Oryzias latipes: one gene and its partners. The protein of the gene in region 2 interacts with the protein of the main gene of each other region in a biochemical or structural test. Links are inferred from orthologs where the notes say so. Each region holds a gene or a part of one and is shown on either strand. Other genes may lie near its edges.

Region 1 (5,110 bases), on a different chromosome or scaffold from region 2:
TATCATAGTATGCCGGATGGAAGCATCGAAATTATAGCCGTTAAGCTTGTTCGTAGTAAAGATGGAAACTTCTAAATCATGGATGTTACTTAAGCTTTTATCATATTATGCCAGTGGAAGCTTCGGATTGGATGTTAAGCTTCGTGTCTGTCATGGCGTCGTAGACGTGGCAGACCCGGAAGTAAACTCTCGACCAGAAATAGTTTGCAAAGAGGTTTTAATTCTCCTGGGGGTTTACAGAGCCTCCAAGTGAGCGTAGCTTGAATAATCTTTGGATGAAGATCTGACGTCCCAGGAGCGCGGCGGACCGTGGAACCTGAGGAGCGTAGCGTGGGGGAACCGAGGACGGCGGAATCAACTTGAGGTTGAGCAGGATGCCAAGGACGGCGGAGCGACTTGAGGCGAAGCGTGGACGCCGAGGACGGCGGGACCAGCGTGGAACATGGAGAGGAGCTCTGCCACGGGAACCAGCGTGACCAGTGGGAGATGAACCTGAAGGTGAGCACAAGCGAGGTAAGTAACGTGACTTGACTTGGTTTAGAAAATACTAAAAAGCCAGACATAAGCACCGGAGTGAGTATAACAAACTGGCGCTGGATACTGGAGAGGAGAACCCTTAAGAAGGCAGGCAGGAGATGAGGAGATGCAGGCCAGCTGGTTCCAATCAGCAGAGCAGGAGCAGGAGTGCTGGGAGGGGGAGGTGGCTGACACAGGCACCGTGACAGTGTTGTCTTACAGGTTGGTGCTTGGCGGATCAATTTGTAGTCCCCTACAGCGTTCTTGCGAACATGGCTCCACATTCAATTTGCCTGGTTCTTTTCCTTCCTGTGTTCCCTTCGTGGCGCTGTACTCGAACGGGAGCAGCCCAACGGTCAATGGTGCCTGGTCACACATAGTCATACTTGTAAATCTGAATATGGAATACCTCTGAAACACACTTCGTCTGACTTACACACTGATTATACATTTACATTTTCTTCATCTTGATGATATTTGGTGTTGGGGGTAGTTATTACCCAAAACTTTTATGGAAATTTTGTTTCATGGAATTGTACAGAGCCTTATGCCAAACTAAAAGAATGTGAATTAAAGTATGGGAATGCCAAACTAAAAGAATGTGAAAATAAATATATTTTTGCTGCATTAGTTGTCTGACTGGAATGATATTATTGCTAAAAATGATGCAGGAGTCCAGCTGTAAAGAAATGACAAAAGAGCAAAGAAAACGGAATGATCTGATTTGTTATTTCTAATTATTAATTTATTTAGGCTTTGTTTTTTTTGTTCTGCAGCATGTTCATTTTTGTATAATTTTGACAGAATTTATTTTTATGTAGAGCAAAATATTATTTGTTATGTAAAGTTTAACTTCATTTATTCTGGATTAATATGCCTGTTTTTATTCATATTTATGTTCCAAGAGTTTAGTTTTAAAGGTTTTACATTTTTAAAAGATTAGCTTTAGTGTGTTTAATAAATGTTTACCTTGTTCGGCCCCCTGTGCGACCGAGTTTGACCCCGCTGTAATATGAGTTGATAAAATGTATGCATTTTTGGTGTAAAGTGGTCAAATAAGCACAGGTAACACAAAAAGAATCCCATCAAATGGGTATGTGTGAGGGGGGGGGGGGGGGTCACTCGCCCGCCCAGGAATTATTTAGTGTAGAACCGCCACTGGTCGTAGTCAATGGGTTGTTGGGCTTCGTGCTGCGGGGCAGGGACACAGCTGTCTGATGACCAGAACCCGGACAGTGAACGCCTCGTTCGGCTGTTCAAGATGCTCCAGAACAACCCGAAAGACAGAAACTGCGATATCCGGGACGCCATGAATAAACACGCAATTGAAGTTCTAATATTCAGTCTTCTTGTGTTTTAGGTACGTTTGGAGGACAAACAAACAGTTGGAAAAATGAAAACTTTAAAGACTTTAAAGGGAGCGAGTTGCATTCAAGAGCGCCACTTTCGCCTCTGCATTGTTTCGCGTGTGATGCGTTCAGGATCCTCGTGATTTCTGCTGCTCCTCCTCAGCGTCGTCTCTTCTCCACCGGCAGCAGCATCCATTAAGGGTCACTGTACTCTCATCAGCCTCTTCTGACCCCGATTCACGTTTTTCCACCAGGATGCCGTGGTGGAGACGCAGCGAGCGCCTGTCAGGACTCGCGGACGCCAAGCTCCCCGTTTTCTCCCCGTCCTTCCAAGCGTGACTTGAAGGCAGCGGAGCGGCGATGTGAGCACCAGGAGACAATCGTCGATGGTCTGGCTGAAGCTAGCGCGCTAAGGTTAGCCGGGCCCGATCTCGGTGGGTGTTTCCCTCCCCTCGCCGTTCTCCCGTGAATCCCCCCGAAGGCCTCTCCGCGGATGTGAAGACATGCCCGAGCTTTCCAGGGGCTTTCTCCCAGGCATGAAGCCTCCTGGCGGCGTAGCCCCCCGGCCGTGAAGCATCCGCAGTCATTTTGTCCCCTCCGCGAAGATGATGCTGGCGGAGGAGCGGGTCTGACCGGGACTAGCTGGACGCTCTCTCCGTGAAGGCCATGATACCGAGAGAATGATAATGCTGGAAAAACAGGTAACATCTGGAGCCTTTGGCTCTGTATCTCAGAAAAATCTGACATTTTTTCACACTCCCATGACAACCAGCAAAAAACTGGCAATCAACCAGATCCAATGAAGTGCCAGCAGATATTTGGTACTTGTATAATATAGAGATACAATAAAGATGATAATCCTTCCACATTTCAGTTCATTCCTCTCCACATATTTCAGTTTCAGTGTAATTCACTGATAAATAAGTGCAGCTGTCAGATGAAGAGGGTCTTTTTGTTACCACATTTTAGGATCTTTAAAAGGTTGAGACTATAAATGTAAGCTTTCATTGTTGCTAAATATACATGGGGGGTCAATGCAGTTTAAAGTAAAGGAACAACATATTTTACACTTACAAACTCTTTATTTAAAGGCCATTTCAAATTAAGGCCAAAAGCTGAAAACTAAAACTACAACATTAAATGAAACTGACAAATAATAAATCAGCTTCAGTTTGCACCACTTTTCTCTTTTTTAAACTGTTTCAAGGCTCTGAGATATTGAAAATCTTTCATCTGATGATGCTCAGCACCAAACAGGCTGCAAGGTGATGCCGTACTGCCCGTCACAGAAACAGTAATGTGATTGTTTCTCTGTGTCTTTCTAAGATCCTTTATGTCTAATATAATTCAATTCAATTATTATTGTAGCCCAAATTCACAACAGTTGTCTCGATGGGCTGATATGGAGGTAGAGGAGATGAAGATGTTGAGGTTCTCCTTAGGAGTGACCAGGTTAGACAGGATAAGGAACGAGTACATCAGAGGGACGGCTCATGTTGCCTGTGTTAGCGACAAAGTCAAAGAAAGCCAGACTGAGATGGTTTGGACATGTTCAGAGGAGGGATAGTGGATATATTGGTAGAAGGATGTTGGAGATGGAGCTGCCTGGCAGGAGGGCAAGAGGACGGCCAAAGAGGAGATATATGGATGTCTTAACAGAGGACATGAAGTTGGCTAATGTTAGGGTAGAAGATGTCCATGATAGAGTGAGGTGGAGGACGATGATTCGCTGTGGCGACCCCTGATGGGAAAAGCCCAAAGAGAAAGAAAGTTGTCTCGATGGGCTTTCATATAGGTAATTGAAAAAGTTAAACATAAAATTAAAAAGATCATGAATACATAGAATTCATTCGGAAAATACTAAATTGACAAACTGACTAAACTAAACTGGCATCCCTGCCCTTAGACCCCCCTTCTCTGTAAGGAAAAACTCCTAAAAAACCGGATTCCGGAAAAAACAAAGAAACCTCAGGGGTGCCCACATGAAGGAGGGATCCTCCCCCAGGACGGAAAGGCGATTTACCAGAACTCTTAGAGAAGAATTAACTTAATCTAAATCTACAACTACATATTTAAAGTCCAGCAGATGAGCTTCATCCAGATGGAGTTAAAAATGTTTTACCCAGTTCTTTGTTGAACAGTGTCTTTTGTAGTTCACTAATGGGATGTAGTTTAGCTGCACCAGTTCAAAAAATTTGGGGGAAAAATAAATACCTAGATATTTGCTATTGCCTGATTTGACTGGTAGAGTCTTTGCTCTGCATTACTGTTCAGTGATAGTAAAAAAGATTTATTCCAATTGAGGAGTCGGATACGGAGGAGAATCCGTTAATGATTGTTTGCTATTTCACTTTCCGAATGTAGATTATGGAGAAAAAGTAATTTGTCATCTGCATAGAGACAAATTTTCTGATGGCTGTGTTTGGTTTTAATTCCTTTAATGCTCTCATTCTGTCTTATTGCTGCAACTAGAGGCTCCATAAATATAGCGAAAAGGGAGGGGGAGAGTGGGCAACCCTGTCTGATTCCTTTTCCAAGAAAAAAACTGTTGGAAGTCTGTTTGTTAGTTCTGACTGATGCATTTGGGTTGCAGCATAATATTTTAATCCAGTCAATGAATGATTCCCAGAACCCAAACTTATGGAGGGCAGCAATGAGGAACTTCCAATTTACCATGTCAAATGCTTTTTCAGCATCCAACGAGAGTATGGTCATTTCCTGGTTTGTAGTAGTGGCAAATTCTATTACAGTCAGTTGGTATCAATATTTGGACAGAGACACATTCTTTCTAATATAGTTTCTGTACATTACCACAGTGAATTTGAAATAAAACATCTCAGATGCCATTGAAGTGCAGACTTTCAGCTTTTATTCCATGGGTTGAACAAAAAGATTGCATAAAAATGTGAAAAACTAAAGCATTTTTTAAACACAATCCCTTCATTTCATGGCCTCCTAAGTAATTGGACAAATGAAATAACTGTAAACCAAATGGTCATTACTAATATTTGGTTGTTGGCAATGACAGCCTGAAGTCTTGAACTCATGGACATCACCAGATGCTGGTTTTCTCCTTCTGAATGCTCTGCCAGGCCTTTACTGCAGCGGCAAACAGTTGCTGTTTGTTTGTGGGCCTTTCTGTCTGAAGTTTAGTCTTCAACAAGTGAAATGCTGCTCAATTGGGTTCAGATCAGGTGACTGACTTGGCCATTCAAGAATGTTCCACTTCTTTGCTTTAATAAACT
Region 2 (5,050 bases):
TAACCGCTAGAAAACACTTTTTTTTTTGTCCTGGGGCCTGCTAACGCGCTGTTATGCTAAATCCCTGGATCACTGCAGTAAATGCAGGGATGACCGTTTATGATGTGTTTGAATCAGAGGAAGATTTTTGTTACTGTAGCCAAATAGAGTAATTGGAAAACAGAAAGGTTGCATTGTGGGGTAGAGGTTAGCACTCGCCTCACAGCCAGGAGGCCCTAATTCAATTCCCAGCTGGGACCTTTCTGTGTGGAGTTCGCATGTTTGCATGTATGCGTTTTCTCCAGGTACTTCAGTTCCTTCCCGCAGTCCAAAGACATGCTTGATATGTTAATTGTTGAATCTGAAATTGTTCCTAAGAGTGTGTTAGTGTGATTGATTGTGTGGCCCTGGAACTGACTGGTGACCTGTCCCGGCTGTGCCCTGCCTTTGTCCACTATTGGCGTGGATAGGCCCCAGCAACCCGGTGACCCCCAAAAGGGATTGAGTGGTTTAGAAGATGGGTGGATGGGTGAACATAGAGATTCCTAAAATGCAGATCAAATCTCACATTTCAGACCCTTTAATGGGTTCAGCATGCACCGCCAAATCAGTGAGCGTTAATCACACGACCCACTTCAATTGTCCGACCAATCACTATAGTTCTCACACAAGGTACGGGTAAGAAGCTAAAGGAGGTAGAGTGTCCATCATCAAATCTACTTTTAAGTCATCCCAAAGACCATAACAAACGGGACCCAATGGCTCTCTACTTTAACCCTCCCATGCTGAGTTTCAAGCAGGCACCCTCTGCTTCACAACGATTTAACCCTAAACACAATTTTAATGGTACTTTTCTGTATATTGCCCTCCATCGTCAGAAAAATGCTACAAGAACATGTTAAAAACACCCAAAACACGATTGTCATTGGAGAGAATCTTTAGAGGCCAACGCAATGTGGATCGAAGCTTAATAACTAAAGAAAAGACCACTCACAATCATTACATCCCTTTAGGTTGACTTGGATACGCTTATGAAAAGTGCTTAAGCCCTAAAAAAGATGCAGCCGTGTCAGGAAAAATCATCAGAATCAATACTAGATATAAAGTCTCACAACAGTTTTGCCTTGTGTGCGACGTTCTGTATGAGCACACACACACTTTTGACACAAGAACACACACTGGCACACTGCAGACAGATCTACCTCTTTCTATTTTCTATTCATGTGGGGGAAACATGTTGACCTCATTCTTTCAAGCAGTGACACATTATACCAGGATTGTTCGGGAAGTATGTTTGATAAGATTCAAATAACATAAAAGATCTTAAATTAATCAGCATAATAAACATCTCTGGAGTTTTTCTCTTCACTCTTCACTTTTTTTTGTGGAGATTTTTAATTGCAGGAACAGGAAAACTGACGCAGAGCTGTAACTGCATCCTCAAAACCCCTCAACGTGCCTTCTCTTGGTCTTTGTGGAGCGCTCTAACGCATGACAGATGACCCCGAACAGCTGCAGCTCAGCGCACGCTGCGCACTGGTCGGAAAATAAAAGACAAACAAATGCAGCGTGGGTGATTGCTGCAGCTGCATCCATGACACAACACATTTAAGCTCTCGGTAGGATTTCATGACATCATGCAACATCAACCATGAAGCAGGACGAGTGACCTCACATCCGGATGCTCGCGCAAGTTACGGCGCGGCTCTTTTGTGAAGGCTGCTGAGCACAAACGTGGGCTCCCCGTCTGCAGAACCGGCCCGATGTGAGACAGGGGCTTCCTCTGCAGGACACACACGCACATTCTTCATTGGATGTCTCTGTGCTGCACTGAATCATGGGTATTTAAAGCTTTTGCAGGGAGCCGCAGTCACTGTGTGGATCCAGGAGCCACATAATAGCAGGTTTCTGTAAAAGCAGATGGTATTTAGGATTGGTGCCCTGTCAGCAATGTGAAGTCTAAGGAGAAGATGAGTTTGGTTTTCTGGAGTGTAAAAAGAATAAAAAAAAGAGGGGGGGGGGGGGGGGCTTTTGAGGTCACCACCAACCTTTTCACTCTAATGATCTGATCCCTCATGGGCTTTATGTCCTGGAAGCTCTGCTGGTTGACCAGGCTGTACACCAGAATGAACCCTTGGCCGTTTTTGATGTACAAGTCCCGCATGGAGGCGAACTGCTCGGTCCCGGCCGTGTCCAGGATCTCCAGCACCGACGGTGAAGAGTCCACCTCGATCTCTTTACGATAAAAATCCTCTATGGTGGGGTCGTACTTCTCAATGAACGTCCCGGTGACGAACTGCACGGTGAGGGCGGATTTCCCGACCCCCCCGCTGCCCAGGACGACCACTTTATACTCGCGCATCGTGGATTTAGTCGAGTCGCCGCGGAACCGACGCTGTCATTGAATCGAACAGGAAGAAAGGATCCCGCACTCACGGCGCTCAGCATCCGCGTGCCATGTCGGTGTCAACGCGAGCAACGGCAGAGCACAAAGACTCGCTGCCCCGACACGGGCTTCATAGTCAGACAATCGCCATGGCAGGCCGGACCCCCGCATGCGGGGACCGCGGCTGTCCGAACCGAGCGGGGAGACGCACGAACGCTGGCCCGAGGACGTGGACCGAGCGGGGGTTCATCCGCTGAGCTCACCCGTCTCTGTGCATGACAAAAAACAAACTTGCTCCATGATCGGGGAAATAAAACGCCAGAGAACGAGCGCGAAGCCTCGGAGAAACCCGGATCGAGGAAGCCTACATCTGCACTGGGTGAAAGAACTGGCCTCTCTTTGTTTCCTTATTCCCTCCCTGACATGTCTCCGCTTCTCCCCCGCTATCCAACGCGCTCCCATCCGCCATACTCTCGGGTGGAGACCCGCGGCCGCTGCGAAACCAGCCGGTCCCCGCTCGGCTACCGTACCGAGCCGAGCAGAGGGAGGTGGGATGAGGGGAGGGAGGGGGGTCGGTCCCTTCTCAGACGGACGCGTGGCCAGCCCAATGGAAGTGCCGGTGCCTCCAACGTCTCATTCGTGGCTGAATGAGAGCTTCGCGGAGGGGAGCCAGTGAAATCCAGAGGTGACACTTCCGTTCACGTGTTCCAATTCCCATCATTTGGTTGCCCCGGTGACATCCACGGAGAGCACGTCCAATCACAGGACCCAGACGAGGATGTGTATCCAGGAGGAGCAAAACATGAGGAAGATGCTGTTACCATGGCAACGCAGCATTCTGTGCCGAGGACTAAATTTGAGAATGGGCTGTGAAAGACGGTTCACCAATAATTGTAATACTTACTACAGTGACTTTTGCAGTTTTAAAAACCCACTCCAAAGCAAATCATGTTTTTAACATGTTATTGAGGCATTTCTCTAATGATGGAGGACACACACACACACACATATATATATCTATATATATATATACATATATGTACATATATAGACATACACACACATATATATATACACATATATACATACACACACACACACATATATATATATATATATATATATATATATATATATATATATATATATATATATATATATATATATATATATATATATACACATATATATACACATATATATACATACACACATATATATATATATACATTTATATATATACAATATATACACACAATATATATATATATATTTATATACATATATATAAATATAATAAGATTAAAATTGCATTTCTAAAATGAAATCGTCTGCAATTATGAGCAGTTTAAAAAAAGCCTGTAGCAGTGACGTAGAAGCTACAGTCGTCAGACCACAAGTTCTCTGTCTGCTCCACTCCATTCCGATGCGTCCACTTGCAGACAAATAGATCCATCCTTCATTTTCCCCGTTCGAATTGGTATCTGGCTCTAAACTGTACGGCTGGATAACTCTGATGTTGCTCATCATTTTTCCTGTGCCAGTAATGTTGGGGATGTGAGGGGCTGTAAGATCGTGGGCAGGCATGCAAACAACATAATGTTGAAAAGCAGGGCTGCTCCACGCTAACAGTCCTGCCCACAACTCAGAGGCGAATTTCTATTGAACTCCTGTTGCTCTGCAGAAACAATTTCCTAAAAAACAACACAGGTTTTTTGATTTTGCCTAAAACTGCATAATCGTACTTAAAAGAGCACTGGGAGCGCTTTAACAAAAGATGATTTATCATATATTTGGATCAAACAGCATTTAAATGTTAAATAATCAAAAAAACAAATCGGACAACTTTGAATTTCAGGTACATATAATTTATTTGCAACAAATCAGATTTGACATAACTTTAAACTTACAGACCAAAACTGTCCATATGAAATGTTTAATTATGCACAACTTTTCTTGAAAAACATTAGGATTTTATTTCAGTTTGTAACCTAATGGCACCTTCATTGGCAGCTTCAAAGCAAACCAAGGAGTTGACACGAGGCCTTTCAGGGTAGAATTTGAAATACAATCTGCGACCATGGCTTTAGGCTCAAGACTTTAGGAAACCTTAAGTTGAAGCAATTTCCTAAAACAATTCTGAACTGTGAAACCAAAACCGATTGAGAAACAGAAGGAAAATAAGGCAGAGTTCCCAAAAAAATTATAATAAGCGCATATTTCCAGTCATGTGACTGTAGCAAAAGTGCTGAAAAGGATTACATTTACCCCTCTGAGTCAGACCGTGTCTTTCTAATCAAAAGATCAAAAATTTAATTTCCCCAAATCCTTTTGTTTGGAAATCACAACCCATCATCTCACATTAAAATACTTGAAACATTTCTGGATATTAAGCGATTTTGGGGTCTTTTTACACTCAAATACAATCTACAAATTCAAGACATAATAAAAGCACAACATTTTTGTGTAGAATGTGGTCTTTAAGTGTTCATTTTTGAGCACGTCAAGAAATTTGCTCATGCAAAGATTTACGTGACAAGGCAGTGACAAAATGAAATGATTTTGTCGGTTTCTTTCTCCAACATTCAACCTGTGGAAACATAAAGTCATTTAGCAACAGATCCTTTCAGGAACAAAACTAAAATCTGATTCATAAATTACATTTATCGTTGAAATACACAAGAA
Region 3 (5,176 bases), on a different chromosome or scaffold from region 2:
AGTTATCAGTGAGGTAAAACCCTAGTACTTTAAGCATTATAAAATGAAAAACCAATCATACTTGCAAATAAAGCACACATGAAACATCTGGCTCACACTTCATCAAGTGCGGATCAAGTGCAGTCCTAGTTATTCTGTAATTTGGACATTTTGGACTGGCATGACACCACTAATGAAAGAATAACTTGAAAAACCAAAGCAAGCGGCTATATTTGTGTCCAGTTTATGTATTTTTATACAGTACATGTGTGACAGTAACATTCTGATAAATATAGAGCAGTAACACAGCAAATGAGCTGAGGAAGTATTTAAACTTCAACAAATTTAACAAATTTTGAGGGGAAAAGCATGAAATTTAGGAACAACATACAAGCATTATTACAGTATGAGACAAGTTTACACATAACGCAGTAAATGTCTTTGGTGGTGAAGTGCAAGTGGAACAGGAGTAAAAAAAAAAGGTTTTTAACTGCACATGTGTGATGTGAGACTTGACTGAATAACCATTACAAGTACCTTTTAGTAGTCCTTGCTGCATTTAGAACAAAGTATGATTTAAAAGGAGGGCGCAACATTAAAATCTTTAAAAATGAAAAGACCATCTAAATGTGACAGAAATCCTTAGTTTCTTACAACCTGCCAAAAGTGTGGGGAGACCGACACATAATACTTAACAAACATTGCTTGGAAGACGAACAACAGTGCAGGCAGCACACGTACTGGGAAACACGCACACACATGCCATGTCCACAGATGGCTGGCATGACTGTGTGCTGCTCTAGTATCATGCTGTTAAATTTGAATCCACAGGACCAAGCAGTGCTTCAGTCCACCAGACTATCTGGAGTCAGGGGGAATATTTCAGAGCCCCTTTATTTAAGTCAGCAAGGGGCAGCACTTTTCCCACCACTAAAATTAGCCTTGGGATATACTTAAGTTGATCCTTCATAGTGCTAACCGAATCATAAAAGTAGGGAACTGTTGAGTTTGCCCAACATTGGATTGTTATGCCCCCAAGATGGTAAAGAACCATGTCTTTGCAATTCACACATTATTTGGAAATCCACATTTGGAAGGATTAAATATAATGTAAATCAATATCTCTAAGTGTTTGTCCACACTGTACTTGTTCTTTGCGTGACTTTGTATTCAAGATCTTATGGAGTTACAGCACGTCTTGAACAAAGCCTGAAGGCTAACCCTTGTAAGCAACACTTTAGTGGTAGTAAATGAAAAGGAGAGTTAGAAAAAACAAATGTGTACTTAATATGTAGCATTGTTCTTTAAATTTTATTGAAACTATTTTTTTTCTGGTAGCAAAAATTCTAAATTATTTGTTATTTACATATTTTATAAAACCCTGTCATTTGCATTTTGCACCAATTACCCCGTTTTAAATAGTATCCTGATGGGTAAGATTACATCTTTGTAAGCTAGACTTATTTAGCAACTTTTTCAGCAGAACTTATGTCACAGAAAAACTATATGGCAATAATCTACATTAAAAAAAAATTCTGACAGATGTTAGTTTTCACAACATCCCAGTTCAGGCATTCAGCTGTTAGTCGGTGTTAGCGTTAAATATAGCACTCACCTTGGTGCTCTGACCTGAACTCTTTGTTTCATTATTCCATTTATGGCTTGTGTTTACATCATTGGTAGAGTTGGGCAACTTTGTGGGGCAACAGGGCGACAAATGAATATGCACATGGGGAGAATAAGAGCTGCTGAGCTTCGGTTTTGAAACGTGACATGAAATTTCGGTGTTAGGGTACGGCACCTCGAGGGAAAAACTCCTTTGCACGGCACGGTGACAGCGACCATCCTCAGACCAGTCTTGGCCATTCCCCGTTAAACAAGGCTTCCTTTTGGGCGATGGTTTTGTAGAAGGAAACAAACAAGCAGAGGTACTGCGATACAGTTTTTTTTTCCCATCATGTACATGCTCAGCACGATTAGTAGGGTGATGAGCCTCTGGATATTCCACATTTGCATCCTTACTGAGAGCTGCCTTTGTCGAGCCCTGTGGACTGTGGGGGGTAAAATGCAGCAGCAAACTACTTGAGTGACGATTAGACCTGTCTGGAGCTGATGAAACTTCTGCCCCTGCATTCCTGCTCTCAGCTTTGGACTGCTGTTTATCCTGTACAGGCAGATTAAAGTGCACCGTGTGTTTCGAGTCCTCAGCTGCTGAACAGTTTCCTCTTGGCTGACTTTGGCAACTGACTGCAGCTGTGGTGGACCCTTTGTAACTTACTTCCTCGTCGTCTTGTGAAAATGTATTGGTAGATGACTGAGGAGTTGAATGACTAGATCCTCTTGCTGGCAGGAGAGGTGGCAAAGCTCCTGAACTCACTGGGGAGGCAGGTGGAGTGCTGCAGGGGCTTTTTGGAAATATAACCAAAGACGAGCACCTCCGCAGTGGGACTCTGGTTCTCCAGGAGAGTCGAGTTCTCTCGTGGTTGGTCTTGTGCTTTTCTGGAGGCTCCGGTTCAAAGATGCTGTTGCTGCTGCAGTAACCAGCATCACTTGCCATGCTGCTGTGGCACGACCCTCCGCCGCCTTCATTAACCCCAGGGTCTCCATCCTCTATGCTGCCATCCTGCTCTCCACTGAGCTGTCCACAGGGCTGCAGTGAGATTTGTAGAACGCTCTTCGTATTACACCCTCCAGTGTTAACTCTCGGTATGAAAACTGAAGAGTATTGACTGTTGGCAAAGTCTGGTGACAGAGGAGTCACCTTCAAGTGGACAGAACTGTGCGCCAGACTCTGTGTGGGACTACGTACAGACGCACCAACTCCGCTCTCCTCATCGTGGCTGCTCGGGCTTTGTGACAGGGGGTCCGTGTTGCTTCTCCTTGACGCGAAATGCAAGCGGAGCCGACGCGCCATTTGTTTAACTCCCTAATCCCTGCAGCGCCTGTAAGAGCAGCATGATCACACTTGCTGGTAGGAAAAAGAAGCAAGTAAAGCAACTGCTGCGCACTCCGCTGTGATCACAATCATTAGCGACTGGACATTGCCAAAATAGCTCTGGTGACAACCTACATTCCTCTCCAGGCTCATCTCAGCTTTAAGTCAGAAGGGGCCAGTGGTTCTGTTTGGATACTTGACCCAAATGAACAATTTTAAAACCAGAGCAGACCCCCTAACAGAAAACAAAGTTACAGTAAAACACAAGTAATTATGCCATTATCGAAAGTCTGCCCTCTCGATCTTATTCAATCTTGTTTACTCTTTTAAAAAGAAAGAAAAACCAGCTTGAAGAAGGCAGACTTACGCTGAATGTCTAGTGAACTGTTACATCTGCTTTGGCTCACTCACTCAGGACTGCACTTCCTGTGACTGCAGTTCATCTAATGTTTCGCTGCTCCTTCCTCCAACAAATATTTTTACCTTCTACTATTGAATTACAGGAAATTACAGGAAATCAAAATGAAAGACTTTCAACATAATTCTGAATCAAACTGAAGCTCAAGTTGAAGAAATAGATCATTTGGATTGTAAGACAGATTTAAAGCTGCACAACAGCATTAATGCTGAGACTTCCAAAGTGATAAACTAGAATGCTAAATTACTTGTTTTGAGCAGGGATCCAACAAACTGCTAAACACTGAGCTAAAGGATATTTCTTTTAAAATAAAAACTATAATAACTGTGACATTACCGTCACACGACACTGGTTATATGACTCCGCATGTAACAGCCAGTTGCTGCTCTGATTTCTTTTCCATGGCTGTTGACAGTCCAGTTTATTAATGGAAGCTTATTGTTAGCTAGGCTGGTCTATTTCCGATAATTACTCTGCTTTCCAATACAGAGCGGTGGTAATGTTTAATATTAAGAAGCAAAGCTAGGATAATGACATGACTCACGAGCAGACACTTTTTTTCCTGCTCACTTTCATGGTGGAACAATGTCTCACATGACCAGTGAACCACATGACTGCAGATGAGTCACTCCCCAGAACTGATAGAGGAGAGTGATGGTGATAGGTCAGCCATAAGATAAGATGTATGACTAACACCACACACATATTTGTCAATCTACACAACTGTATCATGATGTAATATATTAATACAATGAAGGAGCTTTGCCGGATCTCATGTTCCATGACGCAGAAGTAAACAAGGTCATATTTACTCAACATTTAAGAGTGCAAGATATTGTTGCTACAAATGGAAACTCTGAGATAAGATCTGAGGAGAATTTGAAGAGGTAAAATAGGAGTCAGTCTAAATCTTAACTATTTTACTTTACAGTAAACCAACCAATCTAGCTCTGAAATAAATCAAACTGCTCCAACTGGATGTATCAGTGAGACTGAAATTGAGCAGTAATACAAAATTAAATCGAGCGGAGAAACACTAACATGTATGGAATGGAACCTACCAGGAATGGACAATGTCACATCACTGATTTAGCCAAATATTTATAATTTTATTTTTTTTACAATATTTAATACTGACTTCTTTAAAGTTGGAAAAATCGTTAGCAGAATCAGGTTGCGCGTATCAAAAGTGAACAGAAAATCAAAACTTGTAGTCTGCAGATGGTACCTATTAGATAAAAACCAATTACAGCATAAACATAGACTATCAAATTCTAAGGAATCATTCTAAGCAATTGCCATGGACACATGTTTTTGATAAAACATAGAAGTTTGATGTTTGAGTCACCACTTCATCCAGGATCCAGGAAATCTTTCAGTTCTCGATCTAAATGGAGCAAGACAATCTTCTGTTCTAAAGAGCCTTGTGGTTACACATTGAGTCCTATACTGACAAATTAGAAGCATGGAGGCTAAGATATCCATTAGGATGTAATAAATAGGAAGCAGAATCTCTGAAAGATAGTCCATTGAGACCAAAATGAACCACTACAGTGCAAATGGTTAATGAGAATTTACATTATGCCAACCCAACCTTATCAGTGTTTCCCAATGTGTTTGATAACTTCACTATGTTTGAAAGGAAAGGGCGTCGTTTTAGGATTCCTTAAATGAAGAGAAACCGAAATAATACAAGGACGGATCCACTTTCTAGAGAAGTCTAAGAGATGAACCAGAGACAAAAAAAAATTCTGTTATAACACTATAAAGGATCTTTTGTCAAAACAGAGAGATGGTAAAAAATACATTTTCCTAGAAATACCAAACATGTTATAGTATATGAG

What was found.
Region 1: the proteins of ras-related protein Rap-2a (region 2) and ralgds form a complex in vitro, tested with the Homo sapiens proteins (2 studies listed by BioGRID). The link is inferred for Oryzias latipes from reciprocal best matches to the Homo sapiens genes RAP2A and RALGDS.
Region 3: the proteins of ras-related protein Rap-2a (region 2) and nedd4 form a complex in vitro, tested with the Homo sapiens proteins (2 studies listed by BioGRID). The link is inferred for Oryzias latipes from reciprocal best matches to the Homo sapiens genes RAP2A and NEDD4.

What each region holds. Positions count from the first base shown.
Region 1 is NC_019867.2:33,311,452-33,316,561, forward strand, and holds the start of ralgds (ral guanine nucleotide dissociation stimulator), read left to right. Parts: upstream 1-1,635; 5' UTR 1,636-2,545; coding exon 2,546-2,566; intron 2,567-5,110. UniProt on the Homo sapiens protein: Functions as a guanine nucleotide exchange factor (GEF) activating either RalA or RalB GTPases and plays an important role in intracellular transport. Interacts and acts as an effector molecule for R-Ras, H-Ras, K-Ras, and Rap.
Region 2 is NC_019879.2:23,116,103-23,121,152, forward strand, and holds the start of ras-related protein Rap-2a, read right to left. Parts: upstream 3,066-5,050; 5' UTR 2,342-3,065; coding exon 2,028-2,341; intron 1-2,027. UniProt on the Homo sapiens protein: Small GTP-binding protein which cycles between a GDP-bound inactive and a GTP-bound active form. In its active form interacts with and regulates several effectors including MAP4K4, MINK1 and TNIK.
Region 3 is NC_019861.2:21,566,651-21,571,826, reverse strand, and holds the start of nedd4 (E3 ubiquitin-protein ligase NEDD4), read right to left. Parts: upstream 3,476-5,176; 5' UTR 2,894-3,475; coding exon 1,595-2,893; intron 1-1,594. UniProt on the Homo sapiens protein: E3 ubiquitin-protein ligase which accepts ubiquitin from an E2 ubiquitin-conjugating enzyme in the form of a thioester and then directly transfers the ubiquitin to targeted substrates. Specifically ubiquitinates 'Lys-63' in target proteins.